Drosophila melanogaster: one gene and its partners. The protein of the gene in region 1 interacts with the protein of each later gene in a pairwise test. Each region holds a gene or a part of one and is shown in the gene's direction. Other genes may lie near its edges.

The links.
Region 2: the proteins of Vti1b (region 1) and unc-13-4A interact in a two-hybrid assay, tested with the Drosophila melanogaster proteins (one large-scale study listed by BioGRID).
Region 3: the proteins of Vti1b (region 1) and CG7272 interact in a two-hybrid assay, tested with the Drosophila melanogaster proteins (one large-scale study listed by BioGRID).
Region 4: the proteins of Vti1b (region 1) and CG42806 interact in a two-hybrid assay, tested with the Drosophila melanogaster proteins (one large-scale study listed by BioGRID).

Annotation. Positions count from the first base shown.
Region 1 is NT_033777.3:18,396,607-18,403,128, forward strand, and holds Vti1b (vesicle transport through interaction with t-SNAREs 1b), read left to right. Parts: upstream 1-3,102; 5' UTR 3,103-3,185; coding exon 3,186-3,344; intron 3,345-3,404; coding exon 3,405-3,614; 3' UTR 3,615-3,733; downstream 3,734-6,522. Other genes in the region: Wdr37 (WD repeat domain 37), read right to left, coding at 4,221-4,968, 5,026-5,587, 5,708-5,861.
Region 2 is NT_037436.4:7,307,517-7,315,899, reverse strand, and holds the start of unc-13-4A (unc-13-4A), read left to right. Parts: upstream 1-3,003; 5' UTR 3,004-3,160; intron 3,161-3,669; 5' UTR 3,670-3,971; intron 3,972-8,383.
Region 3 is NT_037436.4:15,496,967-15,505,587, forward strand, and holds CG7272 (uncharacterized protein), read left to right. Parts: upstream 1-3,971; 5' UTR 3,972-4,124; coding exon 4,125-4,294; intron 4,295-5,870; coding exon 5,871-6,276; intron 6,277-6,341; coding exon 6,342-6,452; 3' UTR 6,453-6,803; downstream 6,804-8,621. Other genes in the region: CG13455 (uncharacterized protein), read left to right, coding at 1-308, 377-950; CG7276 (uncharacterized protein), read left to right, coding at 1,280-1,795; CG7275 (uncharacterized protein), read left to right, coding at 2,094-2,163, 2,216-2,930, 2,987-3,542; CG7857 (uncharacterized protein), read right to left, coding at 6,848-7,191, 7,253-7,847.
Region 4 is NT_033778.4:13,960,650-13,967,260, forward strand, and holds CG42806 (uncharacterized protein), read left to right. Parts: upstream 1-4,003; 5' UTR 4,004-4,269; coding exon 4,270-4,536; 3' UTR 4,537-4,806; downstream 4,807-6,611. Other genes in the region: CtsL1 (cathepsin L1), read left to right, coding at 545-616, 1,571-1,687, 6,106-6,320, 6,381-6,611.

The DNA of each region.
Region 1 (6,522 bases):
ATATATAGTATTAAAGATATACTGCTGTGCAATATATAGGAACAAAACTAAGCTTCCAATTATAATAAATGCAATAAATTAGTATAAATTCACATGAAACCCTTACCTCCGCCGACGAGAATTACCTCCAAAACTCGATTGGCTTTAAAAAAAAAACCGGTAATAGAATTGTAACTCGCCTGCTCAAATGTTGTTTAATGATTCAACGAGCGCACTTTCGTTTATAATGAATTCAACCAAAAGTCCAGTTTCCAATTGCGATAGCCCAATATCGCAATATCACAGTTCACACGCACAGCTCGAACACTAAAAAAACACTGAGCCAGCTGAGAGGCAACTGCTAACTGCTAACTGTAAACCAGTTCGACTTCAAAACAACAACTAAGTGCCGTTCGCTCTCTTCGCCTTCTCTTTTCTCTCCCGCTTTCTTCTCTCCACCTCTTCACTGCTTTGCTGGTCAATCTAGCCTTGTGTGCGTGAGTGTGGGTGCGCCTATCACGATGTACAGGTAAACTTTTATTATTACTAAATGTCCAGAAGTCTTTAATTAAAATAATTACTTATTGCGACAATAAGTAAGAAGGTGAAATGTAAGACTTCCCAAATTGCAATAAGAACAATAGCTGTGAGAGCAATAATAATCTTCAGCTTTTATCACTGAGCGGAGCGACATAAGCAAGCTGCACTGTACTTCAGATGCAATGTTGTTGTTTCAGTTGTTGTAGCTGCTCCTTGGCTTTCACACGCGAGTTGTGGGTGAGCCTTAATCACATTTATTCGATGGTGAGTGGAGAAGGAGGTGCTGAGTGGGCGAGGGAGCGGCGCCGAGAGAGCGAACGAGCGGTTGACATTGACAACCCCCCTTTTTTGCTGTTGGGAGCGGGCGCACGCCCATGTGTGAGTAGGCTAATATCGCTACACTTCGAAGTTTCGTTGAATTTGCGCTCTGTTTTGTTTGCTTCTCTCTTTATCGCTCTGCGCTTTGGCTCTCCCGTTCGCTATTTGTTGTTAATTCGAATACGAATATAACTTCTAGTTTTTATGGTGCCTTTGCGCTCGGTTTTATGACAAAACCATTTTTTTTCCACTGCGGGTAATTAAGAACTCGCTGGCACGAATAACCGAACCAATTCAATGTGAATCCACAGTGGAGGCGATCGAGGAACAAAAACAGTCCGCACCATCATTTATTAACGCCAATTGTCAGTTCAATTCATTTTCTTCAACTGCTTCTGTGCGAAGAAACCGTTTCATTGCGTCACAAAGATGATTATGCTCATATATTATCGAACTAATGGGGGGAATTCAAAATTATATAGAGCTGTAAAACAGGAGCCAGCTAATAAATCGGCTAGTATCAACTCCTTATAAATAGCCTCTTTACGCAATACTATTGAATACAGAAAAATAAGCCATCAAAGTCAGCATTATTTGCAGTGTTTGCCGACCACTTCCCCGATAAGCCATACATATAGAGTTACGTAACTGGAGATCGGCGACTCGAGTGGCCGGGCTTTGGCTTTATATAGCTAATTAACTGGACGATCGACCAGGAGCACTTGTGTGCAACTCGGCAAAATACTATACTTCAGATGTGAAATTGCTAGATTTCTAGAATCGATCAGATTTTCCCCATTCATAAACTGGGTCTGCGACTGTGGCTAATCAGCGCAATACTGATTGATCGATTGGAAGTGCCATTGGACAATTTATAGAGCGATCCATAAATCATAATCGACTGGTATTTATTGTGCGCTATTCGCAACTACTCGAGCCCAGCTTTTAGGGTTTCCGTTCCAGCTGGAGATCTTTGTGGGGACGCAAGGCTTCTGGAAACCGAGACCCCGAGAAAAAGATCACATGATAGAACCCCCCCATATGATTATGATGATTGCATAAAACTCGAAAACTCGCGACTTTGCAAAGAGAGCGCGACTCACAGATACTCTGGAGAGTATTATATTCACATGACAAGGGTTCGACTAACACACACACACACTGCGAACGTAGTAGGTGCGTACCTGAGTATCTCAGAGATACTCGGGGCTTACGAAAGAGATAGCGCTACGCGTATCTGCCGCTCTGACTTTAGCTGCGACTTCTGGCAGGTGTTTGCACAATGGGTCCCATGACAGGTGTGCCCCGCAGCCCCCAGTAAGCTCACTTTTCCGACCAGTAGCTGTCAGCAGCCAGCATCACGTGCCAAAGTGCATTCAAATTGGGCTTAATTGCACATACTCCCTGCTGCCAAAGCACGTGCTTTGGATGGCTAGTTTACAGGGGATATGGGATATATACGGGTGGATAACCCGTGGCACAGCTTTTACACCTCGAACCCGCCGGGTTTTTCCAGTTGCTTCGAGTTTTTTCGAGTTTTTCGCTTACCTTCACAGCTCCGAAAACGCTTTTTATGTCAAAGACACACCAGATTCGATTCCCCGCGAGTGCGAGCGATAAATTTAGAACTTGTTTGTTGCCGAGCGAGAGTATCTTTATTCGAATCTGAATCTGAATGGAGCGCAGCACACGTCTGCTCACCGCCAGCGATCGACTGCGTTTAAATTTGGCACTCGCTGCCGCGACTTCGGTTCGAAAATCTCGCGATCGCCTCGAAATGCCTCGCACTCTCTGTTACTCAGCACACACACCCTGTGAATTCAGGCGGCTCTCTCGGCGCGGGCATGCCAACTATGTATGATCGGTGACCGTTATCGCAAATCAGAAATCGACAAATACCCGTACTAAAGTCAAAATCCTCGAGTGCTACATGTGTCTACCAAAAAAATGGTCAGTTTCCAAAAACCTAATCACTCTTAGGATCACCCAATTAATCACCATTAATATGTGATATTTTTGCAGTAACTAGATGTGCTTGTTGATAGTGAGGAAGCCAATCTCAAAAAAAAACCAATTGAACTAACACTTCTTACAATTTAAACTTTTAATTAGAATTTAGAATATAAAATAATATTAAGCTAATTTGGTAACAGTTTCATTTTAAATTTCAACTGTTTTAAGTGCTGTAAAGTGCATAAAGTGTTAACAGGTGGCTCCACGCACAACGCGTTAGTACCTTACCAAATAGCGTTTTCACTGCACCGCTCACCACGGCCACACTCTGCCTTTGTTTTGTTTTGATATTCCCACTGCATCGCATTTAATTTATTAAAAGCTGTTACCAAATTATGTCCTACGCCGGCTATAGCCAGCTGCCCAGCGGCAGCGACCAGGAGCGCAGGCAGGCGCAGCTCGCGGCCAGCACCTACGACGTGCTACAGCGGACGACGGACAGTATCCAGCGATCCAACCAGATTGCCATCGAAACGGAGAACATGGGGGCGGAGGTAATTACCCAGATAGTAGCCATTAACAGGGCTAACTAATGCTCGCTTACGCATCAACAGGTACTCGGCGAACTGGGCGAGCAGAGGGAGTCGCTGCTACGCACCACGCGCCGCCTGGAGGACGCCGATCAGGATCTGTCCAAATCGAGGGTCATCATTCGGAAGTTGAGCAGGGAGGTGCTCTACAACAAGATCATCCTAATCCTGATTATCATTCTGGAGGTGGGCATACTCGTCGGCTTGCTGGTGCTGAAGTTCGCTCACCTGTGAGCCAATGCCATTCTATTCCAAAGTCGTAACCACCAAACAGGCGATGGACTATATATACCTATTAATCGTTACGAATTCTTTGTCCTAGTTAATAAGCTTATAAATGTATATACTCCACTAAAATGCACTTCCAATTCAAAAAGGTCAGTTTTAGGATATACCCAGCGATGAATCGGGTGGTTGATTATGTTTATTCATGTTGGCTAAAGCGTTAATGCCTTAGACGTCTATAATATGTATTATGGTAGTAAAACACAGATAAAATCGGGTCTGGACATCGGAAGCTCTGCACTCCGAAGAGTTTAGCCCAGTCCCAACGCATATACATACGTATGCTATAACAATGATAATATGTAGTTCGTGCAGCACGCTATGCCACGACTATTTGGCAAAAAGCAACGTTAATTACATTCAGTGGGCGACAACGAGATAGTAGAACATCCTGAACAATGTCTGCATAATACTTGATCTATGATAAACGGTTACATATATGTAAGTATGTGGGCATCGCTTTGGGGATGCTTCTTTGTTCGAGAGATGTTTGGGATTTCGCAGAGCTGCGCCTCCTCATTCCTTTGGTGCAGCAGCTCTCCGCTTCAGTTGCCTTCAATTGTCCTTCGGAAGAACGATGGACCAGCCGAAAACGCGGCGATCGAAGCCGCAGGAGAAGAGATCGCAGTCCAGCAGCGGCTCCTCCGCCCACGCTACAGACGACACCATCCGTCGGTGGCCCTGCCGACTGGTCCGTGGCAATCGGGCGACTCTCTGCCCGTTCAAATCGAACAGTCGGATCTGTCGATTGTCATGCGGTATGGCGATAATTCCACCAGTGGAGACCGCCAAACGATTGACCGAGGAATCCGTTCGAATGGTGGCCAAGGCGGATCGCATGTTGCGCAGCTCCCAGACCTTGATTGTACGATCATCTGATCCGGACACCACCTTGTCGTCGCGTGCGAACACACTGGACGTAACCGTTTCCGTGTGCCCTTGGAAGACGGAGACCGCTGGGATTGCCTCTCGGAAGTCCCATAGACGGAACGTAGTGTCCCTGGAAGCGGTGACCACCAGGCGCTGGGTGGGATGTGCCGACACGTGGGTGAGCTCGTGGTCGTGCCCAGTGAGCGGCTGCAGTGGCAGGCCAGTCTCCACGTCCCACAGGATGGCAGTCCGATCCCAGCTGCCCGTGATGATTTGATCCATCGAAGAGAGCCAATCGGCGGCCACCACGACTGAAAGATGACCGCCGGGGCCTGTGAACTCGCAGAGCGGAGTGCGTAAGGTGTCCACACGATCGCGATCTTCCACCTGCTCATCACTGTCGTCCAGTTCCTCCTCTGAAGAATGGCCCTTCCTGAAAATCATGCAACGATTATTGAACTACTATAAAATATATTGCAAAGTTACTCACTTGGGCACTTCCCAGTTGACGGCCGCCTGCCAGATGTGGGCAGTACCATCCCCGCTGCCGGTGAGCACAAGATCTCGCTGCTGATGGAACTTGATGGAGTTTACGGAGCCGGCGTGCCCTTGGTACTGCAAAAGGCACCTGGCGCTCTCCACGCCCCAGATGCAGGCCGTATGATCGGCGGAGGCGGTGCCAATGATGGGTTGTCCCGCCTTGGCGGCAACCTGCCAGATGCCATCCTTGTGGCCGCCGAATTCTCGGACCACCGTGCTGACCACTGTGGGCGCCTTAAAGCTGGACACAATGCGGCTGGTTTGGGCCTTGATCTTGTTGCTGGCCTTGGCTTTGCTGCCGCCGGTAGCGCTGCTTAGTTTGGCCTTCAAGCTCTTGTGTGTACTGGATGCTGCAGCCAGGAAGCTGCCCGCCACCTCATCCGTCTGGGTTGCAGGCGTGGCCAAAGCTGCGGATGAGGCCTGAGTGCTCATTGAACCTCCTGCTGCGGATCTGGCATCGGGTGGAATCAATGACTCCTTGGTGGTGGTGGCTATGTCTAGCTTCTCCTGCACTATAACAGAGAATAGGCTTTAATCATGCGTGCACTATACAAAATTTGACATATGTAAGCAATAAATATTAAAGTTTATGAACGAGACCTTAAGGAGTTGTGGATTATATAGCTACTTACGGGCCTGGTTCTCCAGATACAGCTGCTCGAACTCCCGCTCGATCTGGGCGAAGAGGACGTGCAGGCGTGCACGGAATGGTGCATCTTCCGGTACGGCGGCCACGTCCTCCGTCAAACTGGTGAGGCGCACAGCCCGTGTCTTGCTAGCCTTCATGCTTTTCTTTTCGCCTCTTTGTTGTGTATCTCGCAAGTGATTTTCTGAGCCGAGCTGGTCGGCGATATCCGTTTCCTGGTGGGCAGAGCGCCCGGGGGAATCCAATTAGTGTTCAGGGGTTGCAGACTCGCGCTCTATTGATCCATCTTCCGCTGCTGGCGATGCATTTGCCTCTTTGGCTGACTGGGGAACTGCTGTTGCACTTGGTTTTCGCAATGATAATATACTTATTGCAGGTGTTTTTGTGCGCGGGGGGAGCGGGCGGAACAGCTGGTGTGTGTATCGAGTGTTATCGATGTGCGATTATCGCACAGTCGGACTGTGGCACACTGAGAGCAAATTGAACAAATTAAAATAAAATAATTTTGAAATTGCAGTTTACATATTAAATATATTTATATCATAAAAACGAAAAATCCTGTAAAAATTAACTGAAAATTCATTATATGTTATGAATTAGTTTAGAAAAATTTTCAACAAAAACACATCTATAAAAATGTACAATTAACAAAGTTTTTTTTTTAGTGCACTTTGGTTTGAGTACTAGTGTTGAGAAACAATTAGTTAATTTTGCTGACTTTCAAATCTGACACGTGAAGGTAAATAAATTCAAATAGAAATGTAACTATGGATCAGCGCTTTCCTGTAATTATTTATTAGG
Region 2 (8,383 bases), on another chromosome or scaffold:
AGTGAAAGTGATTTGTGTCGGTGGTTGACTTGATCGCTCTGAAAATCAGTGGCACTTCAAGAGCTGTTTTCCGTCCATTTAATTTGCATTCCCTGCCCGACAGTCGACGACTCCTTTTACAACATCCTTAAGCTGCGCTTTATCCTGGAATTAAAAGGCAAGCAGGTATTAAAGTGGAGCTGCAATGTACCCGGCTTTTGTCTTTCCCAGCCGACTAATGAAGCTGGGCAAATGCATTTTGCTGAAATTCCTAAAGGATATAATTTGCATTCCATTCAAGTGGGTCGGGTATTTGAGGCATTTGCTTGGCTATTTGTATTTTTAATCAAGCAACATTCTGTTTGCCTTGCTTGTCTACAAACTAAACATGCAGTTCTTTTTTTTAATTTAATGGATTAATTCAGTAAGCTCTTTACGGATTTCGAAGCCAAGTTAGCTAACATTTTAAATAATTACACACTTTACTGTGTTGGCATTTTAATTATGGTAATTTAATCTCGGCTTTATATCTAAACTAATTACACAATATTCTGGCATTGCTTTGAAAAGCCAAACTAAAAGCTGGTTAAGCCTAAAATTAAAGCGCTTGAAGGTGTGCAATCCTCACCGTCTATGGGTGTATGGGTGTGTGCGTGTGTTTTTGGGGCAACCAATCAAAGTTCAAAAGTTCACATCATTGACAGCGAACAACTTTGGCTGCTTTGGCCCAACTCAAATTAAGAAAAGATAGCTGGCAAGCAGTAGAGACGCACAAAACTTTTATCATTTTCACAGTCCAAGAGAGAAACGAGAATAGTTAGTTACGAAGTACATACTTACCACCCCAAGCACCCGCAGTCCTGCGACAAGGACTCTTGTTCACCTTCTCGATATTGTCGCTTATTTAAGCTGCTTAATTCCGTTGCCAATGGCATTCGTATTCTTTTTATGCCCTTCCGAGCTAACAATCAATCACAGCCTGGCTGACGTCTGTTGACTCCCGGCCAACAATGCATGATGCAAAAATGCGTCGCATTCGCACCTCCATTCCATGGAGCAAAGGCCCACAGGACCAACAGGACTCGCAAATGCCAAAGCCCCAAGCCAATCAGGCGGAAGGTATGGGTGCGACTGCAGATCTGTGGGCACGGAAAATGCCTTCGATGCCCGGACACACACACACACACACTGCCTACCAGTGCTGCCCTTCCGCCACCTCGTTGGATGAATCTGCGTTCTGCGTTCTCCGTTCCTGAGCGCCGTGTACGTGGAGGCATGAAATTGGGTCGCCTGGCGAAAGGCGGGGTTCTGGGTCATCGTCGTGGCGGAGCGTTCCGCACGGATTCGGTCTCGGATTCGGGCAGCCGCAGTTGGAAAAGGAAAATGCCAACCATGAGACAAAGATTGCGGAACTAAATTCCTAAATAACATGGAAATCTATTTTGGGTATTTAAGAGGAATGTGTAGTCCTTGCATATGCAATTTTGCAATTGACAATTTTTGGTTGCTATCGGTGTACACTTCAAAAAAATCATGTTAAAAAAATAAGCAAAAATAGCAAAAGTAACTTTAAAAAATATATTACTGATATTTTACAATAAAAAATCAATAAAGTTGATTAATCTAGAAATGTTTATACCGTTTCATTAAATTTAGTTTCATGAATTTATACCATGTTAAAAATTGTGATAATTATTTATTAAGAGAAAATTATTTCTTATGAAATAATTGGGAATACGTTTGCTGAACTTTTTTAGTGTGTAATCTTTAGTGGCAGGATGCGAGTGGTTCGGTTCGGATTGTGGCGTTTGCTGGGCGTTGGGTGGTGAGTGGCCAAGGAAGGAAGCCAACGCGCGCTAAGCGCCGTCGCTTGATGGAGCTCATCATAATTTTTGGGGCGCCATGGTGGAAAGCAGAAGGGAAACAAAACAAATCGAAGTGGAGCGAACAAGAGCAACATGTTGAAGAGCGCGCGACAAAAGAGAGAACGGCGAGAGCGAAAGCTTTTTCGCAGCTTTTCGAGTTTTCGGCACTAACCTTCATCTTGAACTTCACGGAGAGGAGAGCCATATGTTTGTGTGCGTGTGTGTGTGTGGGTGTGTGAGTGGGTGGGTGGTTCGGTTGGACGTATGCTCCATTTCTAGGCCAAGTCTCGACCCCCTTTTACCATCCTTGGCCGTAAAAACATATGCAACAGGAGGGAATTCATTCATGACCAACCCACACCATTAAGCAGCGGATAATCGTAGTAACAGACGGAGCTTTGGTAGAGCAAGTTTCGTATTGCCCAAAGAAGTGCCATTATGTTATAGTTCTATAATAAATACTTATTAAAATCTTCTTGAAAGTGCAATACGCATATGATATTCACAATATGTTTATTAAAAGACTAATAATATACTTTTAAAATGGTAAAAAAATTTAAAAAAAAATAATTTCATCAAAACATTGAAGTTAAATTTGAATAAATTAATTTTAAGGTTTGAAGTACTAATTAACCACTTAAACATTAGACAAATATTTCTTAAAGAATATTTTTATAACAAATAACATCTTTTTTATACGACCATGTTAAAACTTCTTTGTTTTATGCTAGAGGAAACACAATAGTAATTTAAATTCTTAACTTGACACAAACTTATGCTATATATTCTGAATTTATTAAATAAAATATGTCAGTCTTTGCAGAAAGCATAAAAAAAATTTGAAATTCAAATGTTCCTAACGGTAGAACTCCCTGTTGAGCTTTGTTGAAGAGAGTCGGGATGTTGGGAAAAACTGAAGACTGAACCGACCGAGCTTTCCACACACACTCTCGCTCTCTGCGGCTCTCGCGCTCTCACGCACACCATTGCCAGCTCTTATCAAAGGACAACGGCTGGCTGGAAGCCAAGCCAGCCAGCAGGACTCGCATTGAGGATAGCACAGGAGCAGCAGCAGGAGCAACAGCAACAGTGCGATGGATGCACGGCTTATAAGGTAAAGACCGAAACTGGAGCAGCTCAGTTCGCTGTGGGCAGGCGTCGCAGAAGGTAGTAGCACTATTCACCCAGCGGCAACAGAGGAAGTCCAGTCGGCAGCCGAGGGACCAGTCAGTCTCCCAGCCAGGAGTCAATCGAATCAAACAAAAACCCAAAAAGAAAAAGAAAGATCCTAGAGCAAAACCGACGGCGGTGTGAAAGTGAGTGCGCGAGTGCCAAATGAAACGTAAACGTAACGAAACGAATAAGCCAAGCAAAGCAAACTCCTCGTCCCTAAACTAAAACAAATTGAATTGAATTAAATTGGGAGAGAGGTGGAGCTGCAGCAGCAATTAAAACCAAATTGCTTGCAGCTAAACGACGAAGGATAAAAGGGGCCAACCGACGGGATCCGCCCGTTTATGTCACGCTGCATTTGCACATAATTGCAAACTGTTGCGCGGCCTGCAGTTTCGCCTTTTATTGCCAGGCAATAAAATAAAAATCCATTTGCCCGAAACCATTACACTCCCTTTAAAAAAAAAAAAATAAATCCCACGACAACTGTTGCACACAGGACACAGTATACACCACATAGGACTTAGGACGGACACACTGAACGCCATACTACACCACACTGCACTTGGGGGCCACAGGACATAACCATTTGTTTTACGATCTCAGCCTTGGTCATGCCCCATTAAATATGCTTCTCAATGTTTTGTTCAAGTTGAAACGGAAAGCGAGAAATGAGAAATGAAAAACGAAAAACGACATGAGAAATACCAAATACGAAAAGTGCACAATCGAAAATTATGCTAAAATAAATATTACAAAAGAGATCCGCATAAAAGCGAAGTAGACTAACACAAAAAAGAAAAAGTACAACAAAAAAATCCTGAAAGCAGAAGCAATTTGCATCAGAAATTCCGTGTTCTGGTCAAAACGGAGCAGCGTGTCAATTTATGCAGCCATAAAAGTTGAAGGCGAACTCGAGAGCAACCGAAACGGAAAAGGATTCCCATTCACCAGGTGAGTCCTTGAAACAGTTTTGCACTATTCACTCGAAATGGTTAATAAATCGACAGTCTGCCAGCGACATTCGCAGTGCAATTAATGATAACAACCAAAGCATTCAATGCTCTTTAATTATTCATGCCAGTCTTCATTATTGATTTAATCCTTGTAAATTCCGCGCACGACTAACATATGTACATATGTGCGATATAATAGTGAATACATGTATTATTTACACCTGAGGGTCCTTTGGGATTGCGAATGTCCGGCTGAAAGTAATAACATCAGACTGAAGGGGCGAATCGATGATATAAAATCCGTTTTATTATTGCAATAAAGTATTCACGCAATTTTTGCAAATCAATATTTATGTTCGCACTCAGTCGGCGAACGATGCATTTGTTGTTAGGATAAATCCCGGAAAGTCGAAACGGCGCACATGGCGTATACGTAATGCGTATTTTCTTTAATCATGGCAAACAAATATTGACGCAACGCAAGCGAGCTGGCCGTAATATTTTGATGATGTGGATGCCTTGGGCGCATTTAATGACCACCGCTTCCTTATCGTACCAAACTATTATGGCCACGTACACGAGTATTACGCGTATTAAATGGAATATGTCGTCTAATTTGCTGCCGTATATCATTTAACCGCGCTGCCTGCGAAATGTGCAGCTGTTGTTTTTATGGCTTTTGCTCGGTTGGTTGGCTTGGATCGGTTGCATGGCCTAGTGGGGTATATAGAATAACAAGTGTCTGCCAAGCAAAAACGTAAACAAAAACAGCAACAGGCCGATGGGATCGGTACATCCGCAGTTAATTAAAACTCAACTTCAATTTGGCAACTGTTCAGTCGCGGCTGGCTAATTAAATTTATGCAAAATCCGTGTCAATAGCACACACACACACATACACACACGCAGCTGTAGCGGAATGCAAATTTCAAATCAAATTAAGCAAGTAATTCCACGGTGGCCCACCTGGCGTATGAGTGCTGCGGCTCAAGTGGTGCCATCTGTTTAGCTTTGCTCCATAGCAAAGGCAAACAATTAGGAGGCAAGTTAAAGCTGAAGGACTGTGAATGGGGCAGGTTCATTTGAATACCCTTAAAAGTGATTAATTTTCCTGTCTAACAATATAACCCTCAATCAGCTCTAAAAATAATCTTGAAACTTTTCCCCACAGACACTAAGAATTGTTTACGAATATAAGCTTCACTTACCAACAAAGGATGTGACCTTTGATAAGTTAGGGTATTGATAAAAGGCGGCACGGTGAACAAACGAAAAGTGTGGCACCGTGCTTTCATGTCAACTTTGTTAATTAAATGAAGCACTTAACATCGGCGGACATATTTCACCCTTTTTGGGGTGAGCTGCGTTTTGTTTTCCCTGTTTATTTTTTTTTTCGTTTTTCTTTTTTATTTCGCTGACTACATAATTCGGTGTACCAGTTCCATTTTAATGACTGTCCAGTTCCGTACTTCTTATCATAATTTCCATTTTGACTTCCGTTCGCCGTGCTGCCACTTCTGTGCTTTATTGCTCGTCCTTGTGCCGCCCATTCCAAAGATTTTTCGAAATATTGTCCTTAGACTGGGCAACTTCAAAGGATTCCGTGGGCCACTGTGACTTTTGCCTTTTTCCGCTGCTGTTTTGCATAATGGTTACAAACAAGTTGTTTTTCAATTTCATTCTTCCGACGCTAATTGCAAGAAAAATGTTTAGTTTCGATGAGAGCACAACTTTTGCTACACTTTATTATTTACAGTTTATTGCTGTTGGACAATTTGTGCTATTTTTTCGGGCTATTTCCATTGTTTTTGACATTCCCTGTTTGTTTTGCCAGCTGCAATTGTTGTGGTTTCTGTGGTAAGTTTGTTAGGGAATGGCTTAAGGGTAGTGAAAAAAAAAAACAAATGCACACTGTTTGCAACGCAAACCACAACTTTATTGCATTCAAATTTGTATTTCCAACAAGTTTTTTTTTGTTTAAATTGAATAAGAACAAAGCGAAAACAAATAAAAAACCAATTCTATGCAATATGGGCAATCGTAAAAATGTAAAAACAAATGAGTTTTGTATTTCTTGAAGAATTTATTTTGTTCGTACGGACATGAACCATAATTGATAAGGATTTGAGTTCTTGGTCTAGATAATCTTCAAATATTTTTTACTTTTGGTACATAAATTAAAATGGATAGTTTGGATAGTATCTTGTAAACTTTAATCCTTTAAGGTCCTGGTAAAAAGTTTTAGCTCGTATTCGTTTGGCCTTTCGTATGCCATTAGTAATAGGATCTAATTTGGTTTTGTTAAATTTCGAAACTACCTACATGATGGGTCCTTTTTGTGCGAAGCTTCTCTGTAAGGTTGCCATGTCAATGAGCTCACTTAGATTCAGTATTCCATTCATATTGCTCTAATATGCGACAACAAGTATCCATCATTAGCTTGATATTCCCATATCGAGTTTCCACCTCCTTCCCCTTTCAATTTCCGATGACCTCTGGCAGAAATGTCGCAAAATATTGTCGCCTGCTGTGTTCCCAAATATTTGTGTTATGTCGCCGACGATGAGCGTCAAATCAGAATTCGATATGTTCAACAGCCAAAAGACGGTTGGCTATGTGCTAAAAGCAAATGGAATTCGCAGCTGAATCGAATCGAAAATACCCTTGTCACAGCAGACGACATTACATCAAAGAGTCCTTGAAGGAGTTATTAGCATGCCCACTGAGTTATGAAGGGTATGACAAAAATGGGCAATTAACCTTATCAAGACGCTGCGTGCTAGTAAAACAAGGAATGCCAGCGAAGATGTTTCCTTAACATCGTTAAGATTTCGCAGTAAGTAAAAGCGACACGGCGAAATGAAAGGAAAAAACAAATAAAACAGGACGAAACCGAAGCCGTAGCCTAAAATATACGCCATTAGACAGACGGAATGCCAAAGCAAAGGCAAAAAAAAAGTAAAAAAAAAAAAACAAGGAGTGGGCGAAGGGTCCTTCAACGGGGTGGCAAAGGCAAAAAGCAATTTCAAATATTTTCGTTACCTGCTTGTAGAAATTTTTACGTTTTTCTGATTACGGAGCCAAGCTTTCGTTGCCTGCTGCCTCTTTTTTTTATTGTTGTTGTGTAATTGTGCGCACCAAAAAAAGGGGGGAAAAGTGGGGGAGTTGCCCAAAAGACGACGGTGAAATGGGTTAAGGGGACAGGCAAGCTGTGGAGCAGGAGAACCTGAAACAGCTGAGTGGTTGGCAGCACTTAAGGTCCGACTCCAAGGCTCCATTCTAGACATTTGAAATGCAAAGAAGCATTGCATACTTTTCCACATCCAGCGAAACAGCATGGAGGCAAAAAAAAAAACACTGCATATTATAGCAGGTGCACTGGCATTTCGATGCAGCCCAGAATGGCAGCGAATGTTCCTTTCGAGGACCGGATTTGTCAACCAGCCAACAGGACGAAGAGGTTTGCTTATTAACCATAGCATACTTAGCAGCTGAAATGGAAATGCTGGCCAAAGTATGCTGAAGAAGTCGTTGAGTTGTCGTGGCAAAACTTCAGATATAATTGAGATTTGTTTTAATATTTGTGAAATGCTCAGAGAAATTTGCGTACTAAATGCACACGTGAATTGGGTTGAAGAGGCAAGTTGGCAGTCATCAAAGGATTGAAGGAAAAGTTGGTTAGAACTTTTCTAAGGATTAAAGAGCTGTGCAAAAAATATTCTTTGCTGTAGCTTTGAAATCCAGAATAAGTGATTAAGTTCAAGCTGAGTAAGGCATTTATTAAAGTGGTAAAAAGAGCTGTCATAATAGAATGGCGCCCAAATGTATGCAACATATTTTAATTTTGCTCAAAATTCAAAGCATACTTTTAAACATTTTTAAAAGTGCCTATATTTTGAAATATCAAAATAGTAGCCATATATTTCCAATTTAAATGGAGTTCCATCCGCATGTCTGGCTCTGTTTATATTTAGCTCTGCGGCTTAATAGCTTCATGTTCATGCAAAACCGGAATTATCCTGCGGAAAAGCTGCTCGCCTACTGCTCTTTTCGATCTATAAATAGATTCAGCTCCAGCTTCAACTGTTGCGCAGCAACCGCCAACTAAAAATAGCAGCCAGCTGTGCTCCATCGCCGAACGGCACAAAATCCAATAAATTCAGCTGCGGACAAAGCCGAATTACTCGACACGTCCTGCGTCCTACACAAATGTCGACGTGTTTTAGTGTAAACACACACACACACCATACCGCTTCGCTTTAGCACTCGAATACATATTTGTTTAGCTGTTGGATGTTTATCAGCTTGTCGCAAGATTGATTTATATGCCCTCTGGATTATTAATGGACGGGGCCAAGTCAATTGAAAGGACTCCACAGGACTCGGCTCATTCATTATTGATACCCTGCA
Region 3 (8,621 bases), on another chromosome or scaffold:
CCCTACCAGCAGACCGTCCAACAGATACTGCGACTAGTGAATGAACTGGAGCACACAATTCACGAGGATCGGCAGCAGGAGTTCAAGCTCCGAATGGCCCTCGATCGGCAGACAGAACGGGTTCAGGAACTGGTGTTTTCACTGGACACGGAAAGGAAGCGAAACGAGCGACTGGTGCAGTTGCTCCGGGGAATCGATAGCTCCAGTTCGAGTGAGAGCGATCCGGAGAAGAGGGGCCCCAGTGGCTCCCATGTGAACTCCATTGGTGAGCTGTACGACTCCATCAGTCCACTGCTGATGCAACAGCGGTAAGTTTTCAACAATATTAGAAAAGGGTATACATATGTAGGCACTAAGTATTCTGGCGCATTTTCAGTTACGTTGAGCTCTCCGTGTCCCATCGCCAAAGTCGTCGGCAGTTAGCCAAGAGGGAAAAGGCTCTCAAGGTACTTCAAAGCAAAACGGAGCAGCTGCACTCCAAATACGACGAGCTATTCGATGAGTACCGGAGTGAACAGCGCCGTTTCGAGATGCTGTGCACTCGCTATATTCAAATGCAGTTGAAGAAGAAACAGCAAATCTTCAATCTAAAGAATACACTCGGTCAGGCTAGCGAGTGTATATTCCATGCCCAGGTGGTCATCGATGAGTGTTGTCATGCGGAGAAGTCGCCCATTTCTCCGGAGAATCTGGAGATCTTTCGCAGGAATCTAGAGTGCTTTATGGATGCGCTCAGGAACTGCTGCTGCCTGCGAAAAGTCCACGAGCTTCAGCAGCAGCAGCGCAAAAAGGAGGAAATGGAAAAGTGTCAGAACCAGAATCCAGTCGATGACTTGCTCACACCGAAGGCCAGGGAACGCTCAAGTCAAGAGCAGAGTAGTGACACCTACATTCAGAATCTCTCCAATCGACATCCTCGTATTCGACGTTACAGGCATTCAGCTCGTTAAATCTTCACTTTTGGTTACTACTTAACGTTAGGTTAACTTTGAAATATTTTAACTAGAAAAAATTGGGTCATTTAGACAATGGAAAGTGTAAAAAAAAATAACAAAAATATGTTTATGCGAAATAAAAAACTAACAAAACAATAGATTTTTTTATAATTGCAAAAAAGGTTAAAAAGCGAAAATTGAACTTATTATTTACCAATCACTGTGTTTTCTTTGGAAAACTAGATGGCCATGAAAAATTTGTTCTGTCTGATTATTTCTCTTAACTTATTGCAATCGAAGTTTATCTGGAATTTGAACGAAACACAGATAAAAATATCGCAAAAATGTCGACACAAAGACCCAAAACCTTGTCGACTGCAAAGGAGTCCTTTCGAGCGTCCGCGGTCAGCGCAGACAGCCGATCCGAGGTAATGTCCCACAGTGACTCGGATGAAGAATGGGAGCCTGGGAATGAGGATAAGCCGGCATCTGATGTCACCATCTATAACTACTACAACATGGGACCAGCATTCGGCAAGAAGTTCCCATTGCCGTACATTCGCTTGATGATAGCCCAGGTGGTCAAGGAGAAGCTGGCAAACAAGACCTATAATCAATCGGAAGCCCTTAAATGGACCCGCGAAGTCGCCGATGACATAAACATTAAGATGAAGGGACGCGGCTCTTCTCCAAGATTCAAGCACGTTGTGAACGTAATGCTTTACCAGCAGACCGGAGCCGGATGTTTCTACGGAGCTCGCGCCATTTGGGATGAGCTGTCCGATGACTACATAACCTTCACCTTTGATGGTGGCAGTTTTATCTGCATTGCTGCCGTTTTTGGTTGCTATCAGTACTAGGTTGATGTACAATTAATCAAATATAAGAAATTTTTTAGTATTATGCATTTGCATAAAATGAACGTGAACTGTGTTGCATTTGATTGATCATACAACACTCAGAAGAATTCCCTCCAAAATTTCAAATTTCAGTGTTACCCTATTGGTTTTGCATTAGTGTTACCACACCCACTACTCAACACAATCAGCTGACAGCCGCTCTGTATGGCAACACTGTAGCACGCACATGTTGTTTATGTTCGAAACTCACGATTAATTTTATTTTACGCCGCAGAAAAGCTTAATAAATGCAATCAGGATGAAGGTGAAAATGATTAGTCGCAATCCGGATAACTATGTCCGAGAAACCAAACTGCAACAGCACAAAAGTAAGTTCATATACGAAGAAAGACCAAAGTATTATAAGAATGCCACTTTCAGTGCCCAGGAACTACGATCCTTCGCTGCATCCTTTGGAGGGTCCCAGGGAATACGTGCGTGCCCTGAATGCCACCAAGTTGGATCGAGTATTTGCCAAACCCTTCGTCTGCAATTTGAGCGGGCATCGCGATGGAGTCTCCTGCTTCGGAAAGCATCCCAAGCAACTTTCCACCTTGGCCACCGGCGCCTATGACGGCGAAGTGCGCATTTGGGACTTGGCGAATCGTATCAGCTCTCGGAACTTTGTGGCCCACGACGGTTTCGTTCGCGGCATTGCTTACACCCAGAACGGAGGTCGCATTTTCACCGTGGGAGATGATAAAACCATCAAGGTTTGGAAAGCAGAGGCTCCGGAAGTCGGCGAGGATGAGGTGCCGGTGAACACTATACTGAGTAAATTTGGACTGCACGGCATCTCGCACAATCGCAGGGATAACAAGTTCGCCACCTGTGGCGAGGTATGCGCCATTTGGGACGAAAGGCACAACGATCCTTTGAAGACATTGAAGTGGGGCGTCGATACCCTTCACACCATATCCTATAACCCCGTGGAAACAAGCATCCTGGCGTGCTGTGCCAGCGATCGCAGCATTATCCTGTACGATCAGAGAGAGGCGCAGCCACTAAGGAAGGTCGTCCTAACCATGAAGAGCAACAAGCTCGCGTGGAATCCCATGGAGGCGTTCAACTTCACAGTGGCCAACGAGGATTGCAAGTGAGTAAAACGGCCATACGAAGAGGATGTGTTGCTAAAATCTTTATTTCTTACAGCCTTTATACCTTTGACACTCGCAAGCTGCAAACGCCGCTGAAGGTTCACTTTGACCATGTTTCCGCTGTCACCGATGTTGACTACTCGCCCACTGGCAAGGAATTCGTCTCGGCCAGCTACGACAAGACCATTCGGATCTACAATGCCCACCACAGTCACTCGCGGGATATTTACCACACAAAACGCATGCAGCATGTGGTCTGCGTGGCCTGGTCCCTCGATAATCGATACGTTTTCTCCGGCTCCGACGAAATGAACGTCCGCATGTGGAAGGCGAATGCCTCCGAAAAGCTGGGCGTCATCCGTCCACGTGAGCGCGTCAATTTCAATTACCAGGAGGCGCTGAAGCAAAAGTATGCCGCTCATCCGCAGATCAAGCGCATCGCGCGCCATCGCCAGGTGCCGCGTCACGTGCTCAATGCACAGAAGAAGATGCGCACGGTCAAGGAGAAGGAGCAGGTCAAGGAGGCCAATGTGCGCAAGCACACCAAGAAGAGCAAGAAGGTGCCCTACGTCAGCGAGAAAAAGAAGCATGTGCTGAAGGAGGAGGTGTGAGGATGATTGCTAACGACTGTAGTTGGATAAGTTTGAATAAAATTGATTTTTGTAAGGAGACTATGTATGTATATATTAAGAAGCCTAATCTCAATTGAGTTTCTCACTTTCTATCATTGTTCTCAAGTGACTTTCAGTTTGGTCAAGTCAAACCGAAGTTATCAGTGAATTTGCTTAGTTTAAACTATTGTTTGGCTTTAATTCAGTGATACTAGAAGAAAGAAGATGTTGATAAGTTCTAAGGAATACTCTCCTGTTGCTCTAGAGAGAAAACTCATTTGCTTTGCCATGCAGCAACGTTTCGCGGAAATTTGAAATTCAATTCGTATCCGATAAGCCCTCGCGGGCGATAACGTTTGGGGAAAATCGGAGAGACGCGTCCATTTCTAGGGGATTCTCGATTATAAAAGGTTGCCAGCCCCACCGTTGGTGCTCAGTATTTGTTCGTTTGTTGTTACGGCAGCCGCCAGTCGGTCGTTAGTTTTTGTTTTCGTTCATTTGTTTATACTCGCGCGGCACTCGGCCCCCCTCCCGTTCCCACATAACCCGTTTGAAAGGCATCAACTGAGAGTCATTGAAATCATGGAGGCACTGGGGGATCTCTTGGCGCCACACAGCGAACTAATCGCCAAGGTAGCCGGCACCATAACTACCCTGCAATTTCTGTCCGGAGTGGTTCTGATGAACGACATCCGCAAGAAGGGTAGCAGCGACGTCTACCCGGTGGGCCCATTTCTCTTCGGAGTGGTGCTGTAAGTAACCTAATTGGGATTCCGTGATGCTCCACTGCATGCGACATCGAAAAAAAAACTAGTGGGCAGGGGGCAGGAAAAGCGAGTGAAAAGAACAAAAGCCAACGCATCTGTGTGGGAATTGATTAAATTTTAGAACTGTCGCCATGACAGCACAGAATCGAGTCTCTTCAAGGCCGCCAGTGAATCGGTTTTGCACACAATTCAAGAAGATAACAATGGAATCGATTACATCACTGCGTTGGCCAAATGGGAATTACACTTCGATCATCCGCGACCGTTACATTTCGAAATCGTTAACCTTGTCGAAAATCCGCCAGCAGCACTTTTGCCGCCTTATCGATGCGAGAACCCTCCAAACACGTAGCTCTTATCTAGAGTGTATAATTTTAGAGCTCCTCTATTACGAATGCTGATCCGGTAGAGTCTGTCCAAATCTGGGAGAGCCGCTAATCGTTTATACGACGGGCGAAAGATACGCGACTCGCCCTCTCCACGTGCTCGGCATAAAGCGGGGCTGCCCAGATTCCAAAGGGGGTGGGCCACCCAGTGGTGGTGATGGGAATATCTTGTCATCTATAAATATAATCTTCTCTAATTATAGCCGTAAGGCTTGTCCATTACTGCATATGAATAATAGTGTTTGCTTAGCAAAACATAATATTTTTTTAACTATAGTTTCCGTAATAATACATTTCTTTAAACAATTCCAAATTCCTGCTGGCTAAAGCACTAAATGTAGATGAACTCTCGAGGAATTTACCTTTTTATTTTTAAATCGTAAACTTTCCACTGTTTGTTTTGAACATCTCAAAAGATCATAAAGTGCCATATGGCAGCAAGTGAATGAGTACCATCAAGTGAGTGTGCCATCACTGCGCCGGGGCTTACTTGGGGGTGGTTTTCCGGAAGGTGTTAACTTGGACTGTGTCAAGTGTAAGGACCCGCAGACATGCAAGCGAAGCAACAGTTGTATGCTAAACGAATTCCACTCCACCCAATGGGCGCTCGAGGTCTCGGTCAAGGGCAGGTTCCTCGGCCAGTTTGCATTTCATTTCGCCCAGCCCGGGTGTATTTCACCATTGTTGTGGGTTTGTTTATAGGTTGATCGATGATAATGCTGATTATTTGTTGAGCGTTGAGCTCCTTATCAAATGCTACGTGTACCATGATTTGCACGCCGGCCCTATTATGCTTATTTATCTATCTCCACCTAGTATAGAATCTGATAACGCAATTAATAAGTGTAAACTGGTTTTTTTTTTCAATGAAGTGGTAGACTGGAGCACTTTAAATGAAAACTAGTTCCATTTCTCTTGATTCGAACTTTCTGTAGCGACTTACTGCTGGAAAACTGGTTCGGGCAGGGTCAATTAATTTGAATTAATTATAATATCCTCAGAAAACTATGCTCTTATCTACAAGTTAACTGGAATTTATAAAATTTCCAGCCTTATATTGAAGAATATTTTAAAATGAATATGAATGGTAACAGTATTACATTTTTGTTTAAATATAAAAACCAAATTTTGTCCTAAATTAAAGTAACTAATTAACAAATTGTTGAACTTTCTAGGACCGTTCTCAGCTTGAAGCTGGCCAACATTATGAATGATGCTGCCATGATCAATACGAATTTAATCGGCCTGGTGATAAACTTCGTCTTCCTCTTCGGATTTTACTACTACGCCTCGAGCGCCAGCAGGAGCAAGATCTGGAAGCAGATTGGCTATTCCTCGGTGTTCCTATTGGCCATCACCGCGTATGCCAACTTCGAGGATCCCGCCAAGATTGAGTTCCGCCTGGGAATGCTGATCACCGGCATCCTGGTTTGGATGGTGGGCTCTCCCCTGCTGCATCTGCCGAAAATCATTGAGAAGAAGAGCACCGAGGGAATGCCGTTCCCGATTATCTTTGCCGGTAATCTGGTGGCATTTTCCTGGACGCTGTATGCCATCTCCATCAAGAATACTGTGATGGTGGTAAGTTAGCAATTAATTCTATTAAACGAGAATGTAAATTTGAACCGAAAATTCTTCTATTTCAGCTGCAGAACCTTTTGCTGCTGGTCCTGGGCGGCATTCAGCTCTCCATGTTCGCTATTTATCCCAACAAACCGGCTGCCGAGAAGCCCAAGGACAGCAAGAAGGACAAATAATTGAAATCGAACGCTTTACCTAGAAAAAAGGACAAATAATGGGTTGTTGCAACAACATTACCAAGTAATAAGTAGCTAGGCTTTGAGGAATAATCAAATTATTGCTTGAATTTACACTAAACCGCCACAAGAAAACTAAATTTGAGCTAAACGAATTATTTTTCTATATAGGAAATATTTTCTTAGAACAAATCCAGCTAACTAAGTTGCTAGCTAACCTAGAATTGTTATTATATTGACTATTATTGTATATAACTACTACATACTTGCAATTTTTGACAATAATTCAAATCTTCCAAATGCATACGTATTTATAAAGTCAACATAATATGTAATAAAACAATCTGTTACAAAATCGAGTGAGTTGATGGTAAATGCCATTGGGCATTTCCCGTTTAGGCTGCTGGCACCGTGGAATTGTAGTGGGCACCCAATTGGTATATGTGGCGGTGGTAGCAGATGATCAGCGGTGATCCACCGAATTCCTCTTGCCCCAGGAGCGTCGGTGCTCCTTCCGCTTGGATAACTTCAATGGGCACCCGGAGTAGCGATGAGATGGCCTTCAGTTCTATGTGGCCACCCCAAGCGTGAGTTTTTGCTATGTCGTGGCAGTATTGTTCGAATTGTTGGTCGTTCAGAATGTCTCCTGTTTCCGGGTGGATCATGTATGAGATAAGCGAGTCCTTGTGAGCACGCACATAATTGGCAGTTTCCTCCCGCAACTCCTGAACACTGTGACCTTTGGTGCAATTATTATGGATTAGTTTTGGTGCTGTGTGGACTGAATCGTGAAGCATTACCTGGAAGAGCATTTACGATAAGTTGGTGTCTGATGGACTGATATAAGCAGTCGCCATCGGAGGGTATATTGTGAAGGGATAATTGGCGTTGGGATAGCTTTGCTGTAATCTGCTGCAGTTCGATTAACTTGGGCGTTGGCTGATTGGCAGCATTTTGCAGCTCCGTCTTGATCTCTGCCTCTCGTGCACGTGCCTCCTTTGCCTTCTTGTCCCGGCGTTTCTGTGCCTTGGAAACACGCTGATTGGGCGCCAGCTGTTCCTCTTTTTCCTCGATTCCATCATCGTCTGTCACTTCAGTTTCTGGCTTTTCCGCTGGCTCTTTGACGACCGGTTCCACCAACACCGGTGCCTCCATGGCTTCCGCTGCCTTCAGTTCCGCCTTGTGGCGCTGCTCCAGCTCTCCCTCCAGGCGAGCCATCTCCTCCAGGAACTCCTTCCGCTTGTTTTTATTATTTTTCGGCGCATTCTTCTTCATGGCCTGCAGCTTGGCCTGCAAATCCTTGCGCTCGCGACGATGTCTGGCACCTATGTCCTCCAGACTGACCTCATCCAGACGGGATTCCAGCTCCGCAATTGCCACATCGCCGTCACACATGTTTTTTTATTTAATAAATAACAATAAACTTAATCCTGACAAAAAATTATTTTGGCAGGTTTTGGAAGAGTGACCAGCTTGCGTTATTATATACCGAAAGCTGTCGGAAATATCGTCACCGTTATAATATACTTTATTTTACTTTAGTATTTAGTATTTTGACTGTATGGAAATAGACCAAGTTTAAATTTGAAATTTCTGTAATATAGTGAATAATCTTTAAATAAACTAATTTATTTCTTGTTATATCATTTGGGATGGAAAATTTAAACAAAAATCTAATGTAAGTAAAGAGGGTAATCTCCATTCATTGTTACGCATCACACAAAGTAAATTCTCGCATTCCCTTTCCCCCCATTAATTAAACTTTTAAAATATTTCTGTTAAAAGCGAATATAATTTTGTTGATTTTAATTTTATTTATGCTAAACATAAATCGTTTTATAGTGAGAAACTAAATACAGGCAACGCCAGTGGTGAGAAATCGGCTCAACCAATTCCTTTTTTGGATATTTCTAAATCTTAACTAGAGTTGACGTAATAAAATCCAATTATTTTAGTATGTACAGGCAAATATTTAAACTGGAATCGGCATTTACAGAATTAAGTAAAACCAAAATCGGTTGCAATTAAATTGATGTTAGTTTGAACCTTATACTTTATACAATTCACATGAGTGTTGTTGACATTAAAAAAAAAATGGCAAGCCATCCAGATGACACGTTTCTTATAACTCTATAACACATTCTTAATTGTAAATCAGAAATCGTATTA
Region 4 (6,611 bases), on another chromosome or scaffold:
TTCCAGAAGATTCGGACTGGTCACTCTGTCGGAGATTTCTTGTTTAAACAATTTCTGCTGGTTTTCATTAAACAACGAAAGGTCTTTGGGACTGGATCATCAAGAGCGACTTGTTAAATACAATCGGTTGACTTGCACATTAGTGTTGTTTCAGCCAATTAAAAAGAGTGCAACAACAGTGATAAATCAGTGAATTTACTGCATTCCTTGCGACGCAATTCCGAGTGGTAAGCAATATATGTAGTCTTTTTAGTTATTTTCGAGTTGAGAACGCAAATATACCTGCCCTGCATTAATGCCGATTAATTGCTTCGTATTGACTTGTTGAATCTAATTGCGTCATGTCTGTGTGGCGACTTATTTACACTTTAATTGCACTCCACAATAATCAACAGTCGGCATCTTCGTCTATGCCCGTTTTTATTGCCCCTTTTGCTTTGCGCTTTAGATTCTGTTGCGCTTCTTTGTTTAGATTTTGTCCAATTCCCCTTTGTGCTGACCCATTTTTCTAGTCTTTGTGGTTTTTAACTCACCTGATAGCCAGATGAATCACCTTGGCGTTTTTGAAACCCGTTTTCGCCCTCGAACTAGGCACAAATCGCAGAGGGCACAATTGGTAAATAACAACTTTTATCAAATGCCTCTCACGTTTCTCAAAATGGGCGCAAAAACAGCAAGACAATGATAGAAAAACAATAAGTGAAGCAAATCGCGCAAAAATGGCAGACTTTGAAAGCAATACGAAGCTGCGAGGCAAAGTGGAATGGCCGATAAGATAACGCATCGCCATCGAAAAAATAAAAAAAAACAAATATTAAACTATATTGTTTATCACAAAGCAAATGTCAATATATTTACAAACGCCCCGCAAATCAGTCAAGTTTTATAGAAATAATTTTTATGTCTCTATAAAGAGAATATTTTACGCTAAAATCGAGAGAAGCTTCTTTAAAGGATCAAATTTCTCAAATTTGAACCGTTATTTATTCTTTCATTTTCACTCTTTTCTATGCTTACAATGATATATTTAAAAACTAGTTTTTCAAAACCATGTCTGTTACGAATTTAATAAAGAATTAAAATAATATATTTACAAAGCTTCTATTGCTAGATCTCAGATTGCTTATAGTTTTATACATTAAGTTAGCCTCAAATAAATAAATAATATTAATAACCTTTTTTTTATTATAAATTTGCAATAAATTGCAATTTGGTGCAATAAATTCCATATTTTACCCAATAAATATTAAATATTTTGCAGTGATTTTGATCGTTAGAAATTTATTAAAATATTGCTTAGGCTCATGACAAAGTTGCTAAGATAAAACTAATACTTTAATAGCACAAATTATGCTAATTAACCACAATTTAATAGTATGAATCATGAACAAGTGCAAGAAACTGACTTTATTCACAACTTTCCTTTATCGCTCGAGCAGCTTAGAATATGTATTTTACTTTAATTCGAAGTTAGTGAGCCAGCCCTGATATTTTGCAATCTGGTTTAGTGGCTTCACGTGACCGACACTCCGATTGTTAGTTTGCTTACTAATTGTGTGATTTCTTGCAGATTCCAGAACAAATCACAATGCGCACAGCTGTTTTGCTGCCACTTTTGGCCCTGCTGGCGGTGGCTCAGGCCGTTTCCTTCGCCGACGTGGTCATGGAGGAATGGCATACGTTCAAGGTGAGTTTCAACCGGATCATCTAGGGATCATATTTAATTCGCCAGGCCGAAGAGGCAGATAACAAGTGTTCTCCGGTAACAAGGGCTTGATGTGTAATGATGATTAATCCATTAATTTTTTTTTTGGGCCTTTGTCTTCTGTCCGACTTTGTTTGCATAGTTGGACGCGCGGCATTCTTCCGTTTGTGACGATTCCGCACTTCTGACTTCTGAGTCAGCAGCCATTGCGAGTGTGAATGCACTGCTGCGCGGCTGCCTCAAAGAGACGGAAGGAGGATTCAGATAAGTCCAAAAGTCTAGGCTGTCGTCCAGTCACATGCCGGCTCACATGACCGCAAGCGGCAAGCTGGGCTGCTTTGCTTAGCCCATCCGTAAACATCGGCTGGATGGGCAGATAATCCAAGTCGTTGTGTCGCCCACTTTCGCTACGCTCGCGGTTCATTTCCCGCCGATAAGCCGTGCAAGACTCAAACTGGTCCACTGCCGGCCGACTGATAAGGCGCGGGTCGCATATTTGCCATCACACTTTTCGCAAGCCATGTTTCCTAATGCGACTTCGATTTTTGCCCCCTTCTATTGCATATATATGTGTGTCCATGGTTCCATTGATGATTGGGCCAATCATCCTTTGTCTCGCAGCCTTCACTTGCAACTTCGTCTGCTTATCAATGGTGGATTGTCTATTGATTAATTGAATGCGCCCCTAGTGTCGTCTAATTCTTATCGCCAACAGTCAGGGGTCGTGATTTTTTCCATTATTTTACTGAATAGTTCCGTGCCAAGCGTCATTAGCCCCAAATGGGGGCGTACAAATAATAATTAGCTGTTTGTGCAGAGATCTCATGTGATAAGGGGGATATATGTACATCTCTATATATGCATATTGGTTTAATAACTTTGGATATTTTGCCTTTGATGGTTTTATATTCACTTTTCGAATTCAAATTCAAATGCACCCGCATATGCAATATATGCATATAACTTTATTTCCCTTCCTTTTTTTATCTGCTGTTAAATATCATATTCAATTGAGTGACTCATTTGTTAGAGTAAGCACAGAGTGGTGTATTAAATTATTGTTTATAAATAACAAAGTCTGATCAACTGAAAGAATAGGAATCATATTTATGGAAAGAGTTACTCATCCTTAATTAAAAATAAAAAGAAAATCAACTAAACATTTGCAATTTCCCCACTCATATATTATTTACCTAACTAAATTTTCTTTGATCATCTAATTTAGTTTAGATTTAGTTTTCTTTTTTTTTTCAAAATAAACTCACAATTACTTTACATTTGCCATTTTACATTTCGAGACCGTTAGGTGTCATGTAGAATACTGCAAACGCTCGGTCACACTGCTGCAAACAGTGCTACCCATGCTTGCTTGGGGAATGAAAGGCGCGCAATTTAAATGTGATAACGATGCCAACCATTAGCTCTCACTGCTTATAGTTAGTTAATAAAAACGACATTATCTGTAATGTGTGTGCAGTCCAAAGTGCCACAGTTGTCGGTTGCAAATGCACAGCTGCAAAAGTCAGCGTTGAGCAACTGTGGCACTGATAAGCTCTAAAATTCCAGATTAATGCGTTTTAATTTAAGCAGCTATTCGCATAGTTCGGCAAATATTCAACAACAATATTTAAGAACAAGTCGTGCGGGGGGCCGCGAGCATTTTGGAAATGACGCGCTACAAATCGGCGTTGCTTATCAAATTGCCATTTTTCGCTGGCATTTCCGAGAGCCGAAAGAGATTTCTAGCATTAATTCCCCGAGTGACAAGTGCACAAACAAATCGGCTGCCGTAAATAAACAAGCTGGGAAAAATTTCGCTGACTTGCAAAAGCAGCATGCGGCTCTTTTCTTACATTTTTTATTAAAGATACATAAGTTTCTGTTTTTTTTTTCGTTTTTTTTTAAATCTGTTACTTCTGCTAACCGGTTGGAGCAAACATATTTGAATAGCTCGCCTGAAATCCTTATAAATCAAAATGAAACCGGTTCGCCTTTTTGAGCAAACCCACAATGCGCGCGCTGCAAAACAGAAGGAAATATACGAAAAAGCATAAGAAACAAGAAATATATAGAGTACGCCCGCCTGCCATCCTCCAAATTGGTTGGCCTACGTAGATTGGGCTCTCATTTCGATTTCGGCGATACGAAGAAAGAGTGTAGAGTGTGTTGTGTGCGTGTGTGAACTCGGCTCTTTTTCGCCCCGCCGTCATGCGATTGAGTTTGCGTTTGCGAGCGGACCACCACCATCACCACCACCACCACCAAAAGCGAAGCAGCCAGCTCTGTCGTATTTTTGTTATTCCCGAACCGACGCTCCACGCCAACGGAACGCTCGAGCAGCCAGCGGCAGGCAGTAGCAGCAGCAGTGCAGAGCGCAATATATAGAACATTTGAGAGAAAAGAAATAAAAGGAGCCAAGTCAGACGGGGCCCCCAGCGGTGGTAGTAGAAGTACGGAAAAGCACGCGCGTCATCGTAAAAAACGTGCTACGAAATCGCAGGGAGACGGGCGGTAATAGCAAATAAATTACATAAAAACCACGGAGGAGCAATCACAGCATAAGAATGACCGATACCAGTGCAAATAATTTGGATGTATCGGTGGATGTGGTCTGGCCGACGATAATTGTCCTGGCCATGCTGGTCATAAATGGCTTCGTTTTCGCCTACATTATGCGCAAGCGGCGGGAATACAAATGCCAGGAGGAGGAGCTGCAGCAACAACAACAACCTGTTCCACATTCCTCCTATGCGGCCACTTCGACAACGGAACGGCATGCGGATGCGGATCAGGAGGACGATAGCTGTGCCATCGAGATGGAGCGACTGTAGGGATGGAGATCGCACTAGCTAAGCTCTCTGATACTCAACTACTATCGTCCAAGCTTCTCAACTGCAACGAAGTTTCCTAAGCCACATATGTAGTATATCTAGATTGATAGATACAAAACGTATACGTCGAGTGCCTGGATATCACATCGGATCGCACGTGCATTTAATTACGGTGTTTTTAAGTTGTTAACTCTATCTGCATATATCGCAAATTCAAATTTTCTACAAAAGTATACAATAAATGTGTGAATTTTATCATGCGGCAACGAGAACCAACGACGTTTGCAAGGAAAATCAATAGGTCAGTGTGCCGGGAGGCGCCTCTTTTCTGCCGTTACCACCTCCTCCCTCGAAATCACAACGGGCGGGGTTTCATTTTGCTGCAAGACTCGAATTCGATTCAATTATGTCAATTATAGGAGTCAACCACGGACCAGTGGACCCCATCCGGTCCATTTGGGGCGACAATTGCTGATGCTGGTCCGCTTTGATGTCCAAAAGTAATTACACATGCATGTTTCTCACATGACAGCGCCACTCGACTGTTCAGTTCAATGTGCCAAGTACCCTGGAATATTGCAAAATCTACTAAGACTTGTGGTGAGCCACTTAAAAAGCGATTAGGTTTGGGTTTATACCCATATTTCACTGAGAAAACATGCCACTTTGAGTGCGTTGAAGAGTCGCAAAAAAATAACCAGTTTAGCAATAAACACTTTTGGAAAATGCATTTCAGTTTAGCATGTTTGCTATTTGGATATTCGTGAGCAGTAATAATGAGTTTTGTTGAATAATTCTATATACTTAACTTAACTTTCATAAACTTTTCGATTCTATGCAAAGCCGCTAATTTGGTATTCAGACAAGAGGAAGTCAATTTTTATTCACAAATTTCACTTTGAATCGAAAACTACCCCCATATAGTGGCATTTGCCGAATCTAATGGATAGCAACCTAGTCGACTTCTTGCCCTGGCCTTTCAATTCCCTTTATAGCTATCATTTGTTTAGCGTTCGTGCTATTTTCGTGCTGTGGCTGTGTCAATATGCGGGTCGGACTAACAAACAACCCCGAGCTGGGAGAGGAGGTCTCTTATCCACGGGACCACTGCAGGCAGATGGAGCGCATTTCCTCGTGCTGGCCTCGCTTCTCCTATTCCTACCTGCAGTTTGGCTCGTTTGTTTACTACCTGGAACATTAACACCCGTTTCAAGTTCCTGTCGTTGGGCAATCGTTAAACACAATTTTATGACCATGTTTTATAGATTTATAGAGCTTGCTACTGTGGCCGTTCCTCTAGAGCGTTTCGCTCGTGCCAGGTTGACGGCGCTGTGATAAGGTGTAATCTGCAGATTAAGAACTTTTGCCTCAGCGATCGTAAATCCATTTTACGTAAAACATTTTATTTGATTTTTAATAGAGTTCCCAAAAATGCGTCTAAAAAGTTAACTTTTCATTTGGTTGGCTTTATCTTATCTTGAAACAAGTACACGAAAGTCAATCGATAGTAGCACTTACCTTTGATAAGAGTGCATTATCTAACTAATACTAATACTTTTCATTATGCAGCTGGAGCACCGCAAGAACTATCAGGATGAAACCGAGGAGCGTTTCCGCCTCAAGATCTTCAATGAGAACAAGCACAAGATTGCCAAGCACAACCAGCGATTCGCCGAGGGCAAGGTGAGCTTCAAACTGGCGGTCAATAAGTACGCCGATTTGCTGCACCACGAATTCCGTCAGCTGATGAACGGCTTCAACTACACTCTGCACAAGCAACTGCGGTAAGTTGGGATCGTTAAGGATTATAATGTGCACATATTCAACTTTGCATTCGCTTTCAGTGCCGCCGATGAAAGCTTCAAGGGAGTCACCTTCATCTCGCCGGCTCATGTGACGCTGCCCAAATCTGTGGACTGGCGCACCAAGGGAGCTGTGACCGCCGTCAAGGATCAGGGACACTGCGGCAGCTGCTGGGCCTTCTCCAGCACAGGCGCCCTCGAGGGTCAGCATTTCCGCAAGTCCGGTGTCCTCGTCTCGCTGTCCGAGCAGAATCTGGTCGATTGCTCCACCAA